2 linked regions of the Caenorhabditis elegans genome follow. The protein of the gene in region 1 purifies or fractionates together with the protein of each later gene. This does not show direct contact. Each region holds a gene or a part of one and is shown in the gene's direction. Other genes may lie near its edges.

Region 1 (8,250 bases):
CTGTGAATTGGCGAAAATGTGTATTTTTGGAGATTTAATTTTTAAACGGCAAAATCGAACCTATGGCTTAAATATTTCTGTAATTAGCGAAAAAGTAAGGCAAATTCAACAGAAATGACAAAATATACAGATGGAAGTGTTTTTCCTCACAAAAAATAATTTCAAACAATTTCTCGGCAACGGCAATAAATATATATTGAAAGGTTTCATAAACCTAGATTCTAACAATAATCAAACCATGATAAAAGAGAAAATATATTATTTTAACCAATTAGAACCGAACCTCCAGCCCCTGCACTAACGAAAGAAGGGTCAGAGACAACAAAAAGAAACAACAGGGATATAAGGAAAGTTTAGAAAAGACAGAATTCGAGTAGTCCTCGTAAAAAACCGAGGAGCTGAACAAATAAGAAAGAAAAATAATACTGAAAACTGAGAGATGACAGTCTTAATCTCCGTGTTTGCCACATCTCAATTTTCAGAACAGCATCAGATGAAGAAAAAGGAAAAAACATTCAAAACCGGAAGAACTTGTAAAGCCTAAGTCGCCTTGACTTTGTCTTGACGACCTTTTTCCAATTGAAGGGCGATTTGTTGAGCGCGGAGGGTCAATCTCTTCGTGTTTTCCATGACTTGCTCGTGGATGCTGACGGATTTGACACCCATCACCACTTGTCCCAACTTGCTGTCAATTTTAGCTCCTTCGATACGATACGTTCTGATCAAGTCAACAATCCAGCGTTCAGCTTCCTCTTGGCTCATATTCAATCGTCGTGCTAGCATTTCTATGGTAATGCACTGATGAATGCGGCAGAACATCTCGAAAATGAGAAGGCGTGCAGACTCGCGGAAATCTCCAAGGACAGCAGTCAGGAAGAAATCATTGGAGAGAACCTCTTCGCACTTTTGAAGCATCTCTTGAGCCTCGTCGAAATCATATTTGATGTAGAGACAGGTGAGGAAATCAGTGACGGGATCCTTGTAACTATGGCGTTCCTGTAGAAAAACAAATAATTAATCATATTTTCATATAGAAAATAGTTAAACTCACGATGTCAATGACCTTCACCAAATCTTTCAAGCTGTTCTTCTGGCGGCTTTTGCTGGTAACAACGGCAACAGCCAGATAGCGGAGCAAATGTGGCGCCAAAACTTGGATTGCATTCAAATAAGGTTGCTGGTTCAAGAACATTTCGATAATCTCATCACGCCCTTTTGGATAATTGTAGTAGACGAAAAGTGCCCAGTGCATAAGCCACGCACGTTGCGTAACAAGTTCCCATTCCGTGTCGAATGGATTAGCATCGATGTAAGCACGAAGTTTCAGCAAATCGTCACGAGCATGTTCCCATTCTTGGAGCAGAATTTCACTGGCCAACTTTCCGTAAAGAGCGTTCAAATAGTTTGGATCCGCTTGATTGACAAGGTTGCGGTAGTAGTAAAGGCACACGGATGCGACGGTGTAATTTCCGCATTCGTACATGAACTTGCTGTACTTGAAGAGGGTATCGACCATGTCTACTGTGAACTGCAAGAATTAAGATTATTTTCGAAACTGCAAAGCAAAAACGTACATTGTGGTTTTGAGTGAGATGCTCCAAAATACGGACATTTCCATCTCTTTCTCTGTTGTTATCCATCATTTCCTTGACTTCCGGTATTTCCAAAATGGCAACAACGGAGTCCACCTTGCTTTTCAGCTCATCTCTCTCCTTGATAATTTGCTTCTTCTTAGCCTCAATTGCAGCCGGAATAGGTTTTCCATTGTAGGTCTCTATAACACTATCAATCATATTGGTCTTGGTCAAAAGCTGGCGGTGCATTTCGGTCAGGGATTTCTCATCGTAAATCTGCAATTATCATTGATATAAATAAATTCAGCTATTTCAGAATCAACAATTTATTGTTTAAATCTTACTCCTCGTGGTTCGATGAACTCCAAGAGCGGAATGATCAAATGAAGATCGAGAAAAGGCGCCATGCGCTGAGTCAGGTCGAATGTCGACATTTTTACCTGTAAAATAAGCGTATTAGTATAGTAATATGTTCTAATAAAACTCCAATCAATTTTCTTAACGGAAAACATAAATAAAACAAAAACAATGAAATTGCAGAAAGAAAATCGAGAAATTAGGAGAAATTCGCCGGGAAAGGAGGAAATGATAAACAACGCGCGCTATGGAATATCGGAGTGTCGTTGCTACTGCCTGCCAACACGAGCCACCAGCGAAATGAGAACTGCGAGAAGTAGAACTACGAGAAGAATAACCGAAAACTGCAATTTGCGACATTTGAAAAATATTTCGGAGTTTTTTGGTTCTAAAATTTCAGTTAAAAGTTTTTTAATTTAAAATATTCAAATTGAGAAATTACGAACGAATCATAATGTTCCTGGGATTAGGAAGAGTTACAAGATATTAAGACCCGAGCCCGTATCGAGACCCACCCCGAAAAACATTGTGTGGCTTTAAAGCAATGCTTAAATATTGTAATTGTGAAATGTCAGTTTAAAATCACATATTAATTTTTCGAGTGGGTCCCGCAACGATCTCAATAATAGTGTGCCAAATTTTACCGATGTGTCAGAGACACAAGTTTTATGAAATTTCAAATTTTGAAATGCACAGAAAAGCGAACAGTAAAATTTAGAATGCTTTATTATTAATTTTTGGGAACAGACGAGACCGTAAATTCATGTGGTGTCAGGTTGCCCCATTTCGGTTTGATCAACATTAAATTCGGGTATTTGATGTCAGGAGGAATGCCGAATCTACGAAGAATACGATTCAATTCATATGGACCTCAAAACTATGAAGGAGTAATGCATCGAATTATTCACAGACCGTGGAATGGAAAGCGAAGACCAAAAGTGTTCAAGTGAGAATATAAATTATTTGTCGTAGAGCTGGCGAGTGGGCTACATGAAGAGCCCTGATTCTTGAGGGTAGTGTGCCACCCAGTTGAAACAAAACCTGACTATATAGTTTGACTTGTGGGTCTTGGTTACACATATTGTTTCTAAAGATCTTGACATACCGTATTTCCTCTATTAGTTCAACAGACTACTTTACTTTGAAAGGTTATATCTCGGTTCATTTCAAAGATATCATAAAACTATTAACTACAAAACGATATAAAAAGAACTACCAAATATTTCATCAGTTAATTATTTTTGAAAACAACCGAGATATAAGCTCTCAACCGTGAACGATGGGGTGCCATACTAATTGAAGAAATTCTTGCTACCTATCTACTGTAGAGATTAAAGGAAAAAAGCTAAATTATTTTATTTGAAAAATAATAACATTCAGATACAAAATAGACGAATTGGATTGTACACTTGGATGGGATATTGAGAGCGACGATGGACAAATTGCAACCGTCAATTTTATCGAAGAATGCCTTGATTTTGTTGTATGGAAAAACGATAACTATTAATTCAATTTAAGCCAGTTGCTGTTATGTCAGAATACACTGAAATTGACCAAGATATCAAAATAAAAAAGGCAAACAATTTTTAGATCTCAATTTTCAAATAACCGCTAAAATTTGTTCAAAACTGTTTTGGTAGATTTCCAGCTGCCAAATCTTAACTTTTTGGGTGCAAACAGTTTTTTTTTCAAGTTGGAATGTTATATTTTGATATTTGGGTCTTTTCGAATTTTTAAAAATGTCCCCCACTAGCACTACTCCATTTTACCCTCTGTTTTATAAATGTATATGTTATTCAATTACTCTCAAATTATCATATTATTTATATTTTCATTCTAATCCATGCTTTTTCAAAGACTTCATTTTAAAGAAACCTATAATATTATCGAATCCAGATTATAGGAATTAGGCATGTTATGAGGTGTGTAACAGGCGCCAGAAAGCAAATAGTTAGTAGCGAACATTTTTATTTCCCGATAAAATGTTAATTAAACATTTTCAACAAAGAAAATTTACGGAGAAATCAAGGAAAAATCGAAAAAAAAGTGACCTTTCGTGAAACGTGAAAATGTCTTGATGAACTGATGAATCGAGAAGAAAAATCTATTAATCAATATTCATCGAACCAAAATCGACCAATTTCGCAGTATTTTGAATTCATATTTCTCTGGCAAATTGTTGAAATGGCAACGGAAAACAATACAGGTAAGAATTTTATGCAGATTTTCAGAGAAAATAACTAATTTTCAGATGTTTCTGAGAACCAAGAAGAACCTGATGAACTGAGTCCAAAAACGAAAGCTTTTGCTCCAACACTCGAGAAGGTCTGGAAGCTCAAATTTGAGAAAGTTCTCGGTAATCATTTGGAAATTAATTCCAATTTATAATTCATTAATTTACAGGTAGTGGCTCCTATTCCCGTGTGGCACGCGCAACTTTCGGAGAGAAAAAGCTCGAAGTTGCAGCGAAAATCATCAACATTACGCCAACTCGTGAAAAAGAGGACTACATCAAAAAGTTTTTGCCACGTGAAAAAGAGATTGTCAAGCTCTTGAAACACGATAATATTTGTCGTTTGTACGAGATGATTTCATTTCAAGATCACATCATCTTCGTCAATGAGTACTGTGCTGGAGGAGATTTGCTCCGTAAAATGAAGGATATCGTGGCAATGAAAGAGGAAGATGCAAAGTTCACATTTCGTCAACTTATTGCAGCACTTACTGTAAGTTTTATATCAGAAAACTGTTTTTCTTAAATTTATAAATTCAGCATCTGCAATCCTATAACATTGTGCATCGGGATCTCAAATGCGAAAATATCTTTATGGATAAACATGGAAATGTGAAGCTCGGCGACTTCGGATTCTCGAGAATTCTGAAACCGGGTGAAAAATCTGGAACATTCTGTGGATCGCGAGCATATGTGGCTCCAGAAATTTTTCGTGGCAGAGAATATTCTGGAAATGCAGTTGACGTATGGAGTACTGGGGTCATTCTCTACATAATGCTGGCTGGATCAATGCCATTTGATGATCGTGACCCAAGGAAAATGATCGAGAGACAGTTGGCACATAAAATTAAGTAGTTTTTTTTTAAAAGACAACTCAAGTTAAATTTCTCATTTCAGATTCCCGAAAAGTTGCACATCATCGGTCTTTTCGAAGGCTCTGGTCCTTGAGATTCTCCAGCCACATGCACCGAACCGTCCGACCTACAAAGCAATTTGTGAATCTGAATGGCTCCGTACTCAACCGTACTACATGAAACCCAATGAGCCACCAAAAGTATTGGCAACTCGAATTGTGTCACCTGCAACTCCGATTGTTCCTGTCTCAGGAAAACCGAAAGAAGTCAAGAGACAGCAAGGATGAACGGCATGTGAACTTATTGTGACAGTGAATAAAGCATTTTAGTAGATTTATTCTTTTAAAACAAGATTGTAGTTTGTCTGTCATAAAGCGATTTCATGCCTTTGCAGTGTATCAAGAAAAGTACACAACCTCTTCAATTGAACATTTCCATTCGATATTAATCGGAAACACATTTCAGATACATTTCAGACAGTGGAAGTGACGCAAGGGAGCTGTGCTGAGACTTGTGTTTAGGCTTACTATTAGGCTTAGGCTTCAGCTTAGAATTCTATTTAGGATTAGGCTTAGACTTAGGCTTAGGCGTAAGTCTAGTAAAAGCATACTTCAACATTTTCTAGATGACAATGAAGATGGCCGAACTGCTCACCAAATTGAAAAATTTAGTTGACACTGTAGTAATTATATTAATTTTCATGAAAACGGTTGGAATTAGATAACCTCGATTTACTTATAAATTGATTTCATTAGAGGATGACTGAAAAGTCCAAAATTCTAAAAATACTTGTAAAATAGGTATTATTGCAGCTGGAGGTGAGTTAATTCTTGGTTGTACATACAATAAACAGATGTTTTGTTAAATTAAAATAGGTTACTTATGTATTATTTATATCCCCTTACTTTGCAAAAGTAATTTTTTAAATGCAATTTTGAGGAGCATTTGTATATTCAGGCTTCGGAAATGACTATTTCTAAGCCTTAAAAAAATGAAAATTAAATTAAATTCAAAAATGAGATAATTCCATAAATATAAATTTTAAAAAAAGTTCACGGGAACAATTTGAAAATAGTTGGGGAAAAATTGCCAAAGTTCATTATTTTATTCGTGACCCTATATTCTCCCTCGTTTAAGCTGTACTGCCTCGGTTTTTTTCGCAAATTAAATTTATTTCTCGATATCTCCAGTCTGCGATACACAGCTTTTCTTCTTGAAAAGCTTTTAAAGTGAGTTTTGGCCATAAAGTTTGTAACTTTATCATTAATGTTTTAGAGTTTTGTCTAATCATGATTTTGAGCTGAATTTAAATAGAAAATTACACTTTTTGAAAGTTTCGAACCGAAAATATGTACATTTCCTTTTTTCAATTTGTTTTTCTTTCTGTTATCCAAATTTTTCGCTTTGATTGAAGGTTTTTCTTTAGAAATAATTAAATATTTCAGACAACTTCAATATGGCAGGCCAAAGCAAGATCATCGTTGGAGGAGTAATCGGCGGAACATCTGAACAAGAGTAAATTGAATTAAAAGGTTATCGAAAAATAATTTTTTTCAAATTTCAGGCCAAAAGGATTTCTTGATTTACCGGTGGAACTCTACCAAAAAATTATTGGAAAACTGGATTTACACGAGAGGTGAATTACAAAACAATGAGTATTGAAATAATTATTATGATTTTTTTAGATTTCGCGTACGAAAAAGCAATCAAACTCTCCGCCAGTTCATTGATCAAATGGATCCTGCAATTTCACAAATCCGTGTGTCCATTTCTGATAGTGACAGTAAAGAAGTGAAGGTCACGTATTTTCATGAATTCAAGGAGAAGCGCAAACAGTATGAAGTTCACTATCAGCAAGAATCAAATGACTGTGTCGTATTGAAGAATGCGATGATTGGGTTTCAAGAAGTGTTCGAGTTATGGCAGAAATGCTAAGCTCGTCGATATATCCGGATGTGAAAAACATTTCTACTTGTGGACTTCCATCTTCTCAAATTGCTCAAATTCTTCCGAGCTTCCAGGCTGGAAAGCTGGAAAATCTGGATTTATACTATTGTGGAAAACCGACGGCTGAAGATATGGAAACAATTGTCAACTCTGATCAGTGGAAAAATGCAAAAAATATTAGCGGATTTCGTGGTTTGAGTAATATTCGAATCAAGGATCTCCTTCATTTCTCACTTGTTTGCGTCGATTATGCAACAATTTCGGTGGAAACAGCTATTGAAATCAAGGATGTTAGTTTGATAAGTCTAGTTTCGCTGAATTTCACTTTAATATTATTTCAGATTTTGTTGACTTCTAGTAACATCAAGCATGCATATTTCACCTCGAAAAGTGTCTTGGACGTCAATGTTATTCGAGTTTTTGATCCGAAAGCAGCCAAAGTTCATCGAAAAAGGAATCTTTCCAATTTGGTGCGAAACACGGATTTTGCAGATTTCACATTTTCGAGCAACCAAAAAGTTCTCCGTTTCAAGAAGAAAAATTAATTCCCACTACTAGAACTGTCTTGTGTTTGAATTGTGTATTTTCAAAATGAAGTGATCAGATTTTTTTTTGATTAACTCCTAAGATGGTAATTATCTTGGAGAGTACATGTGTGTTATACATTATTTAGGTAAAGATTTGATAATGTTGCAAAGGTGCGCGCCGTTGGAATAAGGTTTTCAGAATAATTTCTGGGCCCTCCGGCCAGTTCGTGACAAAAGTTTCCACTATCATCTGCATATTTATTTTTTTTGCCCTTCCTTTTGTTTTGTAGACCGATTAGAGTACACAAAACTTGGACGATGGCAGAACCATCTGCCATTTGGTGAAAAAAGTTTTACCCGTTTCTTTCTTCCTGTTCAAAATTGACATTTGTTGTGGTTGGAGGTGATGGTCCACTGTTCGTGAATCCTGGAGTTGTGATGTCTTGCCGACGTGCCTGCCTTATACCTTCCTGCATCACATTGACCTTTGCAATCTGCTCGGTCCCCCTTGCCATCGAATCATTGATCAGTGACAGCTGCCTCACCTTATCGGCAATGCTCTCAATTTCAGAGCTCACACAATTTTTCGCGGTCTCCAAATCGGTGACGCTCTTGCGACGTGAGTAGGATCTTGCAATTTGGCTTGGTGCCGGATTTGGGGGAAATTGGACGAATTTCACTGATAGATTCTTCGGAGCATTCTGAAAAATACAACAAAAGTGCATGTTTGGAGACGTGCAAGGAAATTGGTGAACCCA
Region 2 (11,885 bases), 5.7 Mb from region 1:
GAAGAGAAGGATTTGATTTCATTCTTTGGTGATGATTATGCCGAGTATCAACGCAAAACTTGGTCTGGAGTTCCATTTGCTCGTGGATATCAGAAGCCATAAATTGATAAAATAATAATAATTCGTCTTGTTTTATTCTTGCTAGAAAAATCTAATAAAGGTTAATAACCGCAAACTTGTAGTTCTGATTATTTTTCAAGTTTAAGGATTTGAATTTTGGAAACTGGAATTAGTTTTCAACTTTTGCAATCAATAGTCAATATGGAAAAACAAATAGTTACGCATTATTTCCCATATCAATTTCTGTTCTAGCCCTTCTGCTTAATTTGAAAAATACTTGTTCTTGCGTGACAATATAAAGAATTACCATATTGATCAAGGCGTGCTATTCTAATTTACGAAAAGAAAAAATGTTGTTCAAAAAGTTCAAAGAAAATCACTATTTGATTTATTCCCTGATTGTTGTAAAGAAAAGCTGAAGCGGATAAAAGAAGAAGATGAGTGTTACAGTTGAGCAGGTAAGTCAACTTTTTTCAAAGCTTAGCACGTTCAACGCTGACTCTTTCAGGAAGCTTATGAAATGCCAGCTGACAATAAAAAAGTCATGCTGAAAATCGAAGAAGTACATCTTCACTCGTGTGGCGTCTTCAGCAATGTCTACAAAGGAATACTCCGAGAGCCATATGAGAAGAAGATCGCCATCAAGAAAAGTTGGCCGGAAAAGGGAGAACGCAATTTCGAGTTCATCTTCTTGACGGGTCGCGAACGGGCTAAACACAAGAACGTGATTCATATGATTTTTGCGTTTAGCCACAGTTATGACACAAAGGTTTGCCACAAAGCACTTTCGTAGAATTCAAGGAACTCCTGAATTTCCAGGTTTGTGAATCCTACGTCTTCGACTTTATGCCAAACACCTTGGCCGAAGTGATTCGCCAGAAGCTCACGGACCTCGACATTCGCCTTTACACGTGGCAAATATTCTCCGGATTGAAATACCTGGAGGAACACAAGGTTGTCCATCGAGACCTGAAGCCGGTGAACATTCTGGTTGATCATGACACCGCATTCCTGAAGATCAGTGACTTCGGGTCAGCAAAGATCATCGTGAAGGGGAAGGCAAACAACTTCTATCAGGTCACACGCTTCTACAGACCGCCCGAATTGTTGATGAAAGCAATGGAATACAATTCCACAGTTGGTTAGTTGACATTTCCTCAGTTTAATGCAAACTGTTTTATGAATTCCAGATGTATGGTCTGCCGGATGTATCATGGCAGAGATGGTGAAGCGTCATGTGGTTTTCCCGGGAAGAGATAGTGCTCATCAGTTGAAACTCTACTGCCGCTGCTTTGGTGCCCCAAATGAGCAAGACATTAGTGCGATGAAGGGAGAAAAATTGGAGAAAGAGTATTGGAAGTTTACGAAAGGATTCGGACTTCAAAGAGTACGAGCATTATTCACAATTAGGAATAATTGAATATTTTTGTAGCTTGTGAACGATATCTCACCTGATCAGCTACAGTTCATCAAGAGAATCCTGGTGTATGCTCCCGAGAAACGTCTTCGTGGCAAACAATTGCTTCAGGACGACTTCTTCCGTCCGCTCTTCAAAGCTGGAGCAGTTCGTCACAACGGACAGAAGATTTCTGACGTCATAACTGCTGCTGATTACAAGCGAGCTGCTGAGTATGTGTACCTGAGAAAAGTATTATAGTGAACATTTATCTTACTTTCAGAAACGAAGAATCCTCCGCATGCCGTCTCGCGCAATTGGTCAAGACGGACAACAAGGATCTTGGGATTCCGTATTGTGAGAAGAGCAACTCATATGAGAATGTTTATGCGAGAAGATCAACTCTTATCCCGGTTAGCATTCAATATAAACGACCATCTAATCTAAAAATTATTACAGAAAGAGCAGAAGATGGCTCGTGACAACAAGTCGAAAGAGGACAGCTCTGACGATCGACGTGTTGCACCTTCTAGTGGAGAGGCTCCTTCGGCTCCTGGCAAGCGTTCCGAGTCCAACAAGACCGCGGCAATCGCCAAGAAATCGACAATGAAGTCGGTGATGAACGCACCACCGCCCCGTCAGAAACCAGAATAGTACTACTTGATATTTAGTGTAGAGTTTTTTAGGAAATAAAGAATAGCGAGAGTTGTGAACTGCAATGGCAAACTGTTCCGTTCGAAGTTTTATAGTATCTAACTAGCAGACGGTAGACATTTTTGAACTGACAGTGAGAGAACTATAACGTTGAATAATCCTTATGAAATATTCACCTCCTGCTGATTTCTTATGTACCTCTTCAAACATCTATTTTGAATTAGTCTTACTAGCTCTATGAAGCTTTAAAATTGAGAATTCTCTTGGCTTTTTATGCTATACTTCTTTTGATACCTCTATTGATCCAACTTCTTAGATGAGCAGAGAAACTTGAACGCTTTTATGAAGTTCCAAGAAGATTCTGCAAATAGTTGATTAACAAGCGAACTTCCATAGAAAACTTTAATTCCGCTAAACAAGTTTTAAATAATTCAAATTTTAAAAATATATTTCAGGATATACTTTGATCGTGACTTGAACAGGTGCAGTTTTCCTTTATTCTTCCAAAGTCAACGACAATTAAAAATAATCTTTACTTCGTTACTCAACCATTTGTGAACTCTATAGCTTCTAGGAAAGAGGAAAAAGTTGTCTTTTTTACGCCACTTCTCGATCAAAAACCAAACCTTTATTCCGAACAAAAGAGAGAACTCTTTTCTTTTTTCAAATAAACTTCAAAACTCAATAAACTATGAACATTGACTGAGCCTACCGTAGTTGGAAAAAGCTTGTGCTCTCAAAGAATTAGAGCCATAGAAAATTAGATTTATTGAATAAGGGAAAATTCTTGAGGGGTGGGTGAATTAATATTCTAGGTCAATAAATCAAATTTAGCTATGACTCATGCTTCAGGTAATAAAAGTTTTCATTTAAAGCAGAATTACGGAAAATATAGTCAAAATGCATCGGCTTATCAGATATCAGATATCATTCAACATTCCACAAGAAATTTTACCATATCCCAGTTCTGCAAGCACTGACTCATTTTCTTCAAAATTACACCTGTTTAACAATTTTCAGAAAAGCACCAAATTTTTTCGCAATTAGAAATTCTAGTTCTAGGGAAACATTGCAGTAGAAGAAAAAACGGGAGTGATTAATTTTACTGAATTCTTTTTCGGAATTCTTTTCCAGAAATTAGACCAATGAAGTCATTTTTGGCAAATGGTACGCAAGAAGAGGACGGGGAATGAAAAAAAGTTCATTCGTAAAACTTTTCTCCAAAATTTATTTATTTTTAATAAAATTTGAATTCCCTTCAGTTTCAGAAACATCACTTGCCGAGTTCATCATTTCTATCATCCCAATTCCATATCCAATTCCTGAATCATATCCTTGTCTAGACAATAAGTACATTTATTTTATAACCTACTACAACTCATACATCCTCACTCTCTTTTACTTTTCAGTTAACTAATTCCCAAGTCATGTTCAATCCAATGATCACAAATTTCTCAAAACTGAAATGTGAATCTCCTCTAATTTCACGAATTTATCACAGCTTAATCTCTCAAAAACAAACCCCTACTCCCTCATAGCAGAGAAAGAAAAAAAAGCTCTGAAATTTTTTTGGATACTCTGTTTTTGCTGCTCCATTTGAGCCCACGAGTCGCGTAAGAGAGCCGCGCGCGCCGGCTCCTCCCTGCTCTCAAAACTCTTTCACCGTCGGCGTCTCCGTCGTCTATCGATTCAGAAGACGTCGGTGCCCAGAGCCGACGTGAAGCCGACTCATTCTAGGATGCGGGCGTCCACCGCTTGCCTCGTCGCGCTTCTCGCGCCCTTTTATATTTCCGCTTTGCCAGTTGAATATTTCTACGGGGATGAACAACAGCCAATTGAGGAGGGAGCCGAGAACAGTGCAGTATTTGAACAAGATAGGGAGCTGGTTAGTTTCTCATTTTTATTTTAGCTAGTTTTTTTATTCGAAAGGTAAGGGCTGAAACTGTTTGTCTGAAAATTTCTGACTTACTGTTTTTTTTAAATATTTCTTTTGAAAGAAGCTTTCTTATTCAAATTCTTGTAGCCACTGATATCAACTATCATTTAACGTTTTTGATAACCCACGCACACGACATTCCCTGGCTAGGTATATGTATCAACTCACTGGTGTTACTTTCTTAGAATGCATGCCAGTTACTCACACTTTCCGATTTCTATATAGACTTCCGTGTTCAAGTTTCGCATTCTTGGAAGTCAGAAGTTCTGCTAAAAGATTTTGTATATATTTTCAATAAACTAACTGAACTGTGTTCCCAATGTGGGTTTTTTCCGGATCTTAATTGATAAGTTCTAAACTTTGCACAGTTTTTGAAAGAACTTTTCTCATGTTGAAAAATAACTTACTCTCTATTCGTCACTTTTCAATATTTCGCTGGCTTCGTTTTCCAATTTCTCATTATTCTTGTTTTCGGCTTCAACCGAAATTAGGATACATTGTAGTGTGAACCTAGCGAATTTGAGGTCAATTTCTTGCTGAGATCTCGAGTTTACATGAGCCCAGTAAACTTTAACCTTTAAGATGATCGGAGATTATTTTTTATGACAGAAAGTATTTCCTTTGTCATTCTGAACATAGTTAGTTTTGTGATGTGACCATAATGTCTGAAGACCAGTTGCCTGTTCCTAGTAGGCACTGCCTATTACAGTTGTCATCCTTTTGAAATTTAATAGCTACTCAATTTATTGTATGTGCACTTTTTCAAACACCGAAAGCTTCAGTTGAAAAGCACGTAGGCAGGCAGGCATGAGATAGATACGAAGGCGCGTACATGTGCCTGCCTGCAGTTTATATGCATTAAAAAGCACATGCTGCACGCAGCACAAATCTTACCATTCAAAATGCTCACATTGCAGCCGTTTGTGAGTCAAGTGCGCCCTAAAGATGATGCTCCTTTAAGGAATGTCATAGAAGTGATACTTGAGACAAAATGAATGATTAATAGCTTTTTTTCATGCTGAAAACGTAGGCTTCATAAATAATTTAAATCTTCCATCTTTGCTCTCGAATTTCCTAGCATTTCAGAAAACCACCGTTCTCCAAACTCCAAATGTCTGGTAGAGAACTTTCAAATGAATGTAAATTTGCCTTCGGCCATTTAACATCTCTCTTCCTCTTTCCAATTTTGTTGAATGACGTCATTTGGTTCTCTAGTGTCTCTTCTCTTGAGTACACTCCTATAGATTTGACTAGAAAAGAGGCAACGAGTGTTTCTTGGAATCCCAAAAATGTCAGTTAAAATATTGTTTGCAAGATCTCATAGATGCTAATCAAAAACTAAAAATTGGAGAAAACGGGGACAAGATTTTGAGGCATTTGAAGTTCTCCTAACGCCTACGCCTACATAACTACATTTGCCTACTACAGCCAAATTTCCTGTCATCCTTTTCAAATTTAATAGATACATTCCATCAGTTTATTAATTTAGGCAGGCATGAGGTAGGTACGCATGCGTAAGCATCGACCTGCCTACAGTTAATAGGCAATGTAATTTTACAAGTGCTCCACATGACGCCTATTCTATTTTACATTTCAAGTAAAATTATCGACTGTTTCTCGCACGGACACCGCCTCTGAAAAAGTTGACCTAAACCTCGGCAGTTTGAAAAATAGAAACGGAAAATGCTTCCTACCAATGAGAAAAATTTCAAATTATACATCAAAGTAAATACTAACATCGTGGCTAAATTCATCATTTTCCGTACAAAATCTGCAAAAACGCCATCCGATTTTGTTTTTTTCTTCTGCTAAAAAACCAAACAAAAAAGAGAAATTTAATACGGAAACATGTGTGGGCTGATGTGAAGATTGGAAGTATAATATTCCTGAGATGAGCCAAAAAAACGAGCTCATTTCGAATTTTCATGTCATCTCCACATCCTCATCTCCCTGTTCGTTGAAAATGTATGAGCCGCCGCTTTCACACGGGGCTCTTTCATGAGTCAGAACTCGAGGCTCATTAGTCGCACAAAGTGTGTGTTTTTTGTGTGTGAGTGTGTGTGTGTGTGTGTGTGTGTGTGTGTGTCTGTCAGGCATTATATAGCAATATAAAGAAGAATACTCACGAACAGGGGGCAATAACAACTTTGTCTCTTACTCATGAAAACGGAAACAAGGAAATTGGTTCTGAAAGGGTGGAGGGTGAGAAAATTGAGAAAAAAAGAGGAGAAACGGAAATACAAAAAGTTCTTCGAGCTTAAGCTTGTTCCGCTCATGATCTTGAGCAGCATGACTTTTGCTTTCAATTTTATGTGTGAGCATGGGGAAACTAAATTTCTGGAAACTTCTAGCATCACTTTTAGTAAGAGCACCTCTTCCCGCATCTTCACTGAGCCTCCTGGGCCCTAGCGGCAGAAATTTGACAAAATTTGGCACATAATTTACAGACTATTTGTATGATAAATTTCATTAAAAAGTCTATCAAAATTTTCTCAAAATGTCTGAAATTATTTGAAAGTTGGCAATTTTCCAAAGCTTTTACTGATAATTTTGAAACTTACGACACACTTTAAACATTTAAAACCCCTCATTAAATCTAGACTAACACCAGTTTTCTAAACATAATATTTTTCAGATTGGACTATTCAACCCCAGCAAAGAAATCGGTCAAGTGAGCGGTTTGGCAGTGAACAAAAATGGACATATCGTTGCATTCCATAGATCAGGTCGTGTTTGGGATGAGAAGAGCTTCAATGATCACGAGACATTCAATAAGGATTTGGGAGTGATTAATAACAAGACCATCGCAATTATTTCAAGAGAAAAGAAAGTGATTGATGAGTTCGGAGCAGGGCTCTTCTACATGCCACATGGTCTGACAATTGACAATAATGGTGATTATTGGGTGACTGATGTTGGAAGTCATCAAGTACATAAAATCGATGCAAAGACACAAAAGATAGTGATGAGCTTGGGTGAGAAAATGGTTCCCGGAGAGGATCAAGCTCATTTCTGCAAGCCAACTGATGTGGCAGTGGCTAAGAATGGTCATATCTTTGTGGCCGATGGGTACTGTAACAGCCGTATTCTCAAGTTTGACGCCAAGGGAAATCTGATGGCTCAGATCAATGCAGCTACTGGTAAGGGAGAAGGGGAGAAACATATTTGGAAATTTTTGAGTTTTTTTTTTCCAGCAAAAAAAAACTGTAGAACCTGCACCTCCATTTAAGATAGTTTTCGCAAATTTCAAAACGTTTTTTCTGTGAAAAAGTTTAACACATGGCCGAGTTATTTTGTTTTTCTAGGCCACCGTTTTCAACTTCTTCGCATTTGTCGATTTACGCATCTTGTGTACTTCTCTAGAAGAAGTGTGAATTTTTTGCGTAACGGTTTTGGCATATTTATGAAAAAAATTATTTAATTTGTAAAATTTTCAAATTCATTTCGAGGTGTTGACTACCTGCGTAAATCGACACATGGCCGTGGCCGCGTTTCCGTATTTTTTTATACTTTTTTAATTTTCTATAAGGCTTTTCTAGTTGCTCATTGAGCCCTACGCTGCTTTCAGCTCAAAATCTAATCAAATTAGACTAAAACATCCCTTTTCGATCAAGAATTGCTGAGCAAAACCTTGAAAAGATCTCATTATTCTGATGCACATGTAATCCATTATTTCAAATGAATAATCCAATCCAAAATATAAATATTTCTGAATTGATTTTTGATCAAACAACTCTTTTCAGAAGAAAACCAACCATCTGAATTCGTCGTTCCACACTCTTTGTCTCTCATTGAGGATATGAATATTGTCTGCGTTGCTGACAGGTTAGTCTTCATTTCTTGAACTTTTGCGCGTAAAATTTGTTGTCTTCAAAACTGACTCAATGCGTCATAATTGGCACGTAAGTTTAGTATAAACTCGTTCTTTATTCTGGGGACGCAGAAGGATCTCGACATGGAAACGCGCTCCACGGATAATTGAAAACGCACCGCCCCCGAACCATGGGTCTCGTTAGGTATTTGGTAGGAAACCCGTTAATTCAAACGGGTTTCTTTGGTTTCGGAAATTTTGAAGCATTTTCGCTTTTTTTTCAATTATTTTATTGAATCGAAATGATTTTAAATAATTTTTTGAACATAGCATTATGAATTTTATATCATCAATTTCGACATACAAATTATTTTAAAAAACGAAAAATTTGCTGCCAAAAACCTAACGAGACCCAACGTTTAGGGACGGAGCCAATTTAATTTGCCATGGAGCGCGTTTCTAGATCAATTTCAAAAGTGAATAAAACGAAAGAAGAGATAACTATTAATTTATTATAAGTACACCCATTTTGATGAGAAAATATGCAAATTTTATTGAAAATAATATCTCAAAACTAATTTTCAGAGAAAACCAGCGTGTTCAATGCTTCTCAGCTGGTCTTTCGGAGGGAGATCGTACACTTCCAACAGGAATTCCAATAACTTCGGCCACCGACATTGGCCGTGTGTTCGCAATTCGAGAGCGTGAGCACTATCTGATTGGTGTGACGGGTAACAGTGAAGACGTTGAAGCACAAATGTTCTCAATTGATATGCAAACTGGAAAGACTGAGACATTCGCAAAAGGAGTTCGTAATACTCATGCACTTGCAATTGCTGCCGACGGAGTCATGTTCGTGTCACAGTTGGAGCCAAGCAGAATTCTTGAGATCAGACTTTTGTAATCTAATTTTTGTCATCATCGTTGTCGCTGAAAACAAAAGAAGAGAGAAAAATGAATTTTTATTTAATGTTATTCCCAAGAGTGTTTCTTTTTTCGCCTTTCATTGACATTTATTAGCATCTTTGCTGATGTTTGTATTGGTTTTTTGAGAGAGAGACAAAGGAGAACTTCTTCGAATGATACAAATCACCCGATACAGGAATCTATAGGGGAATTAAATTAGATCGGGGATATTCCGAGAAATATACATTGGGTTTGGACAAGTGTGTGTGTGTGGGATGGAGAGAACGGGGCAACATCATGGTGGGTAGTACAAAATGTGTGTCGATGGGGGATACAAGATGACTGAGAAGTGAGGAATCTACTTTGGTATTTCAAATTATTCTTTTTTTTTTGGAGATGAATGATTACTACGAAAATTGGGAGAGCAACTCGTCGAACGTTTGGGGGGAATTTTGGGGGGGTTTTCTAGTCATGGTTTATATCAGATAAGATATATGACAAAAATATTATGAGCTGTTTAAGCTTGAGTTAGGGGTTGAACATCGGTTGGAAGACGAGTGTATGGTGGTGGACGAGTGAAGTCAACAGCGAAGGCGACTGATGTCGATTGGAGTTGTTGGCCGATAGCTTCAGCAACCTGGAAATATATCGTGAAATTTTATTGTGCAAAAATGGAGAATTTTTCTAATTTTTCTCCAAAGCTACATTGCAATCTGAGACTTTTTGGAAACATTTTTAAAGATTTTTTTGCTAAAAATACCGAATATAACTGTAAAAATGTTTTTAGAATTTTCCTGAATTTTTTTAATATTCTTTTTCAATTTTGAAACAAAAAAGGTTCATTTATTTTCGAATTACCGCGCAAATGAGTGACAAATTGGGTTTGCTTCATTTTTGTCTTATAATGTGAAACATAATTAGTCAACTTTTTTTTTCGCGTTTTTCACGATTTTTAGTTTTCTTTGCGGTAATTCCAAAATAATTCAGCCCTTTTTATTTTGATTGGCGAAATTTTTTTTAATTATCTAAAATTAAGAAATATTATATAACAAGTTATATTCAGTATAGTATATTGGGACGTCGGTTTTCGGTTCTCGTTGTTTTTGAGAGAAAATCGAAAAATTTTAAATTTAAAAAAAACTAAAATTTTCGATTTTCCGAAAAATCAAAATTATTCAACTTACATTCTTGTCTCCGTAGAACGAATAGCACTTGCAGACAACCTTCATGCACCAGACATGGACGAGAACTCCTGTGAAATGAATAAGAATGGCTGAAGCTGGATTCTCTCCATTCATATTCTGGTACGACTTGGTATCCACAAAGTTGATGATATCAAGTGATATTTGGAAGATTGCCAAGAATAAGGCTATGGCAGCAAATGCGATGTACGGAATGAGAAGGGATCGGCGGTTGGTACGAACTCCGTGGAGCATCATGAGAACCTGAAAATAAAATTTATAAGAAGTCTGAAAAACCAAAAAAAAAAACTAACGAGTCCGAGTTGAAGTGTGAGAGCTGAGAGCAATGAGGATACATAACGGGCCATGTAGTAGTTGATTGACCATTCTTTCGATCCTTCCGTCGTGTCTTCCACTTTCAGTGCTGATGTGTAGGCGAACAGAAGTGAGATCGAGAAGAGGGCGATGACAAATAATTGGGTCATTCCAATGTACTTGGTTGCCTGGAAGATTGATCATTTTTCTAAGTATGTTATTTAATTTTCTGATAACGTATCAATTTTTATTAAAGGTGGATTACCGAAATTTTTTGAATTTAAAGCTGAGACTATTCTTTTTAACCCTGAACTTTGAACAACCATAACCTTTTTCGGAGAAATTTTCAGAACATTTCATTTTGAATTTCGGTAGTTTTTGGTCATTTTGGGTCTAACAAAATTTCATTCTGATGTTCTTATTCTTAAAAACCAATTCCAGAAAATTATTAATATAATCCTTTTTCTTCGGATTTGATTACATTATTTTTTCATAAACTAATCCGATGGAATCCTTACAAAAACAATGCATTTCCTTTATTAAATCCGTTTTTTTTTTCATTTCAAAAATTTAAAAATACAAGAGTCAAAATCAATGAATATTTATAGGATTTCACTCATATTGACGTCAACTGTCTCCAGGTTCAACTCACCTTTGTGACATGGAGTTGTCCACACGCGACGCGATATTTCGGGGCATTGCAGTCCCAGATTGCGTCGACACGGAACTTTCCGCGCGCTTCCTCCGGGCTCTCGTAGCGCGCCGACGAAAATGCGGCAGCCTTCATTTTCTGAAAAAAAAAGATTTTTAGAAGAAAAAACATCCAGAAAAAAATTATTTTGAGACAAATACAAAAATATGTGACAAATAGGAATGGAATGAGAGAACGTATTGGGTAAGATGCTGTAACTTGGTACAAAGAGGGGCCCGAGAGAGAAAACGAGGACGACGATGGCAATGGCAAAGGTATAGAATGTCAAGTGTAAAATAAAAATGAGCGATGATGGAAATTACGAGAAGGTCGGTGGACAGGCGAATGGAGAAAACGAGACGAATCTGTGAAGGGGGAGAGGACGCCAAAGTTCGAAATCAACGGAAAATTAGAAATGATAACAGTGTGTGTGTGTGAAAGGAAATGATGAACGAAATTGGTGTTGGTAGCGACGGCGCGGGGCAGTCAGGTGCGAAGTCAGACAGGTAGAGAGAAAAAGAGATAGCAGTATGGAAGAAAATGTGTGAAATAGTGCAAGGTGGAAGGATGTTGAAATCGATTCCGAAAAATAAACGAATTCAGAGTGACGTACAGGTGGTGTCATCACAATCAGGGCTAAATGAAGAAAAGTTTTTCGAAAAGGGTAAGCGAAAAATGTTATTTTTTCGCCGAAGACATTTAAAAAAATTGAATTTTTTGAAAAACAGGGGTGGTTTTGATAATTTCGAGTGTAAATAGTCATAAGGATTACTGTAGTTTACGGTAAGAGATATTTTGCGCAATACGCATTCTCAAAATATGTTGTTCCCGTAATAAATGCTCACTTTTCTTCGAAAAAAACGAAGTTAAAAACTAAAAATCTACAGCCCAGATCACAATCATTTGGAAGCAACAGACTGTTCATCGACACACTT

Evidence for each region.
Region 2: the proteins of tag-344 (region 1) and pgal-1 fractionate together in Caenorhabditis elegans (co-fractionation; one large-scale study listed by BioGRID). This does not show direct contact.

Annotation. Positions count from the first base shown.
Region 1 is NC_003279.8:10,640,268-10,648,517, forward strand, and holds tag-344 (Protein kinase domain-containing protein), read left to right. Parts: upstream 1-3,977; 5' UTR 3,978-4,016; coding exon 4,017-4,137; intron 4,138-4,182; coding exon 4,183-4,287; intron 4,288-4,334; coding exon 4,335-4,657; intron 4,658-4,704; coding exon 4,705-5,015; intron 5,016-5,061; coding exon 5,062-5,305; 3' UTR 5,306-5,350; downstream 5,351-8,250. Other genes in the region: eif-3.E (Eukaryotic translation initiation factor 3 subunit E), read right to left, coding at 541-996, 1,052-1,528, 1,575-1,850, 1,919-2,008; B0511.17 (DUF4283 domain-containing protein), read left to right, coding at 2,762-2,877, 3,312-3,438; fbxa-125 (DUF38 domain-containing protein), read left to right, coding at 6,938-7,255, 7,307-7,510.
Region 2 is NC_003279.8:4,902,999-4,914,883, forward strand, and holds pgal-1 (putative peptidyl-alpha-hydroxyglycine alpha-amidating lyase pgal-1), read left to right. Parts: upstream 1-3,840; 5' UTR 3,841-3,848; coding exon 3,849-3,995; intron 3,996-6,681; coding exon 6,682-7,186; intron 7,187-7,789; coding exon 7,790-7,871; intron 7,872-8,442; coding exon 8,443-8,761; 3' UTR 8,762-8,831; downstream 8,832-11,885. Other genes in the region: icmt-1 (Protein-S-isoprenylcysteine O-methyltransferase), read left to right, coding at 1-102; F21F3.2 (Protein kinase domain-containing protein), read left to right, coding at 498-518, 569-829, 880-1,201, 1,251-1,447, 1,493-1,689, 1,740-1,869, 1,916-2,110; F21F3.6 (DUF4149 domain-containing protein), read right to left, coding at 9,281-9,400, 9,948-10,208, 10,259-10,447, 10,912-11,046. UniProt on the Caenorhabditis elegans protein: Probable lyase that catalyzes an essential reaction in C-terminal alpha-amidation of peptides. Mediates the dismutation of the unstable peptidyl(2-hydroxyglycine) intermediate to glyoxylate and the corresponding desglycine peptide amide.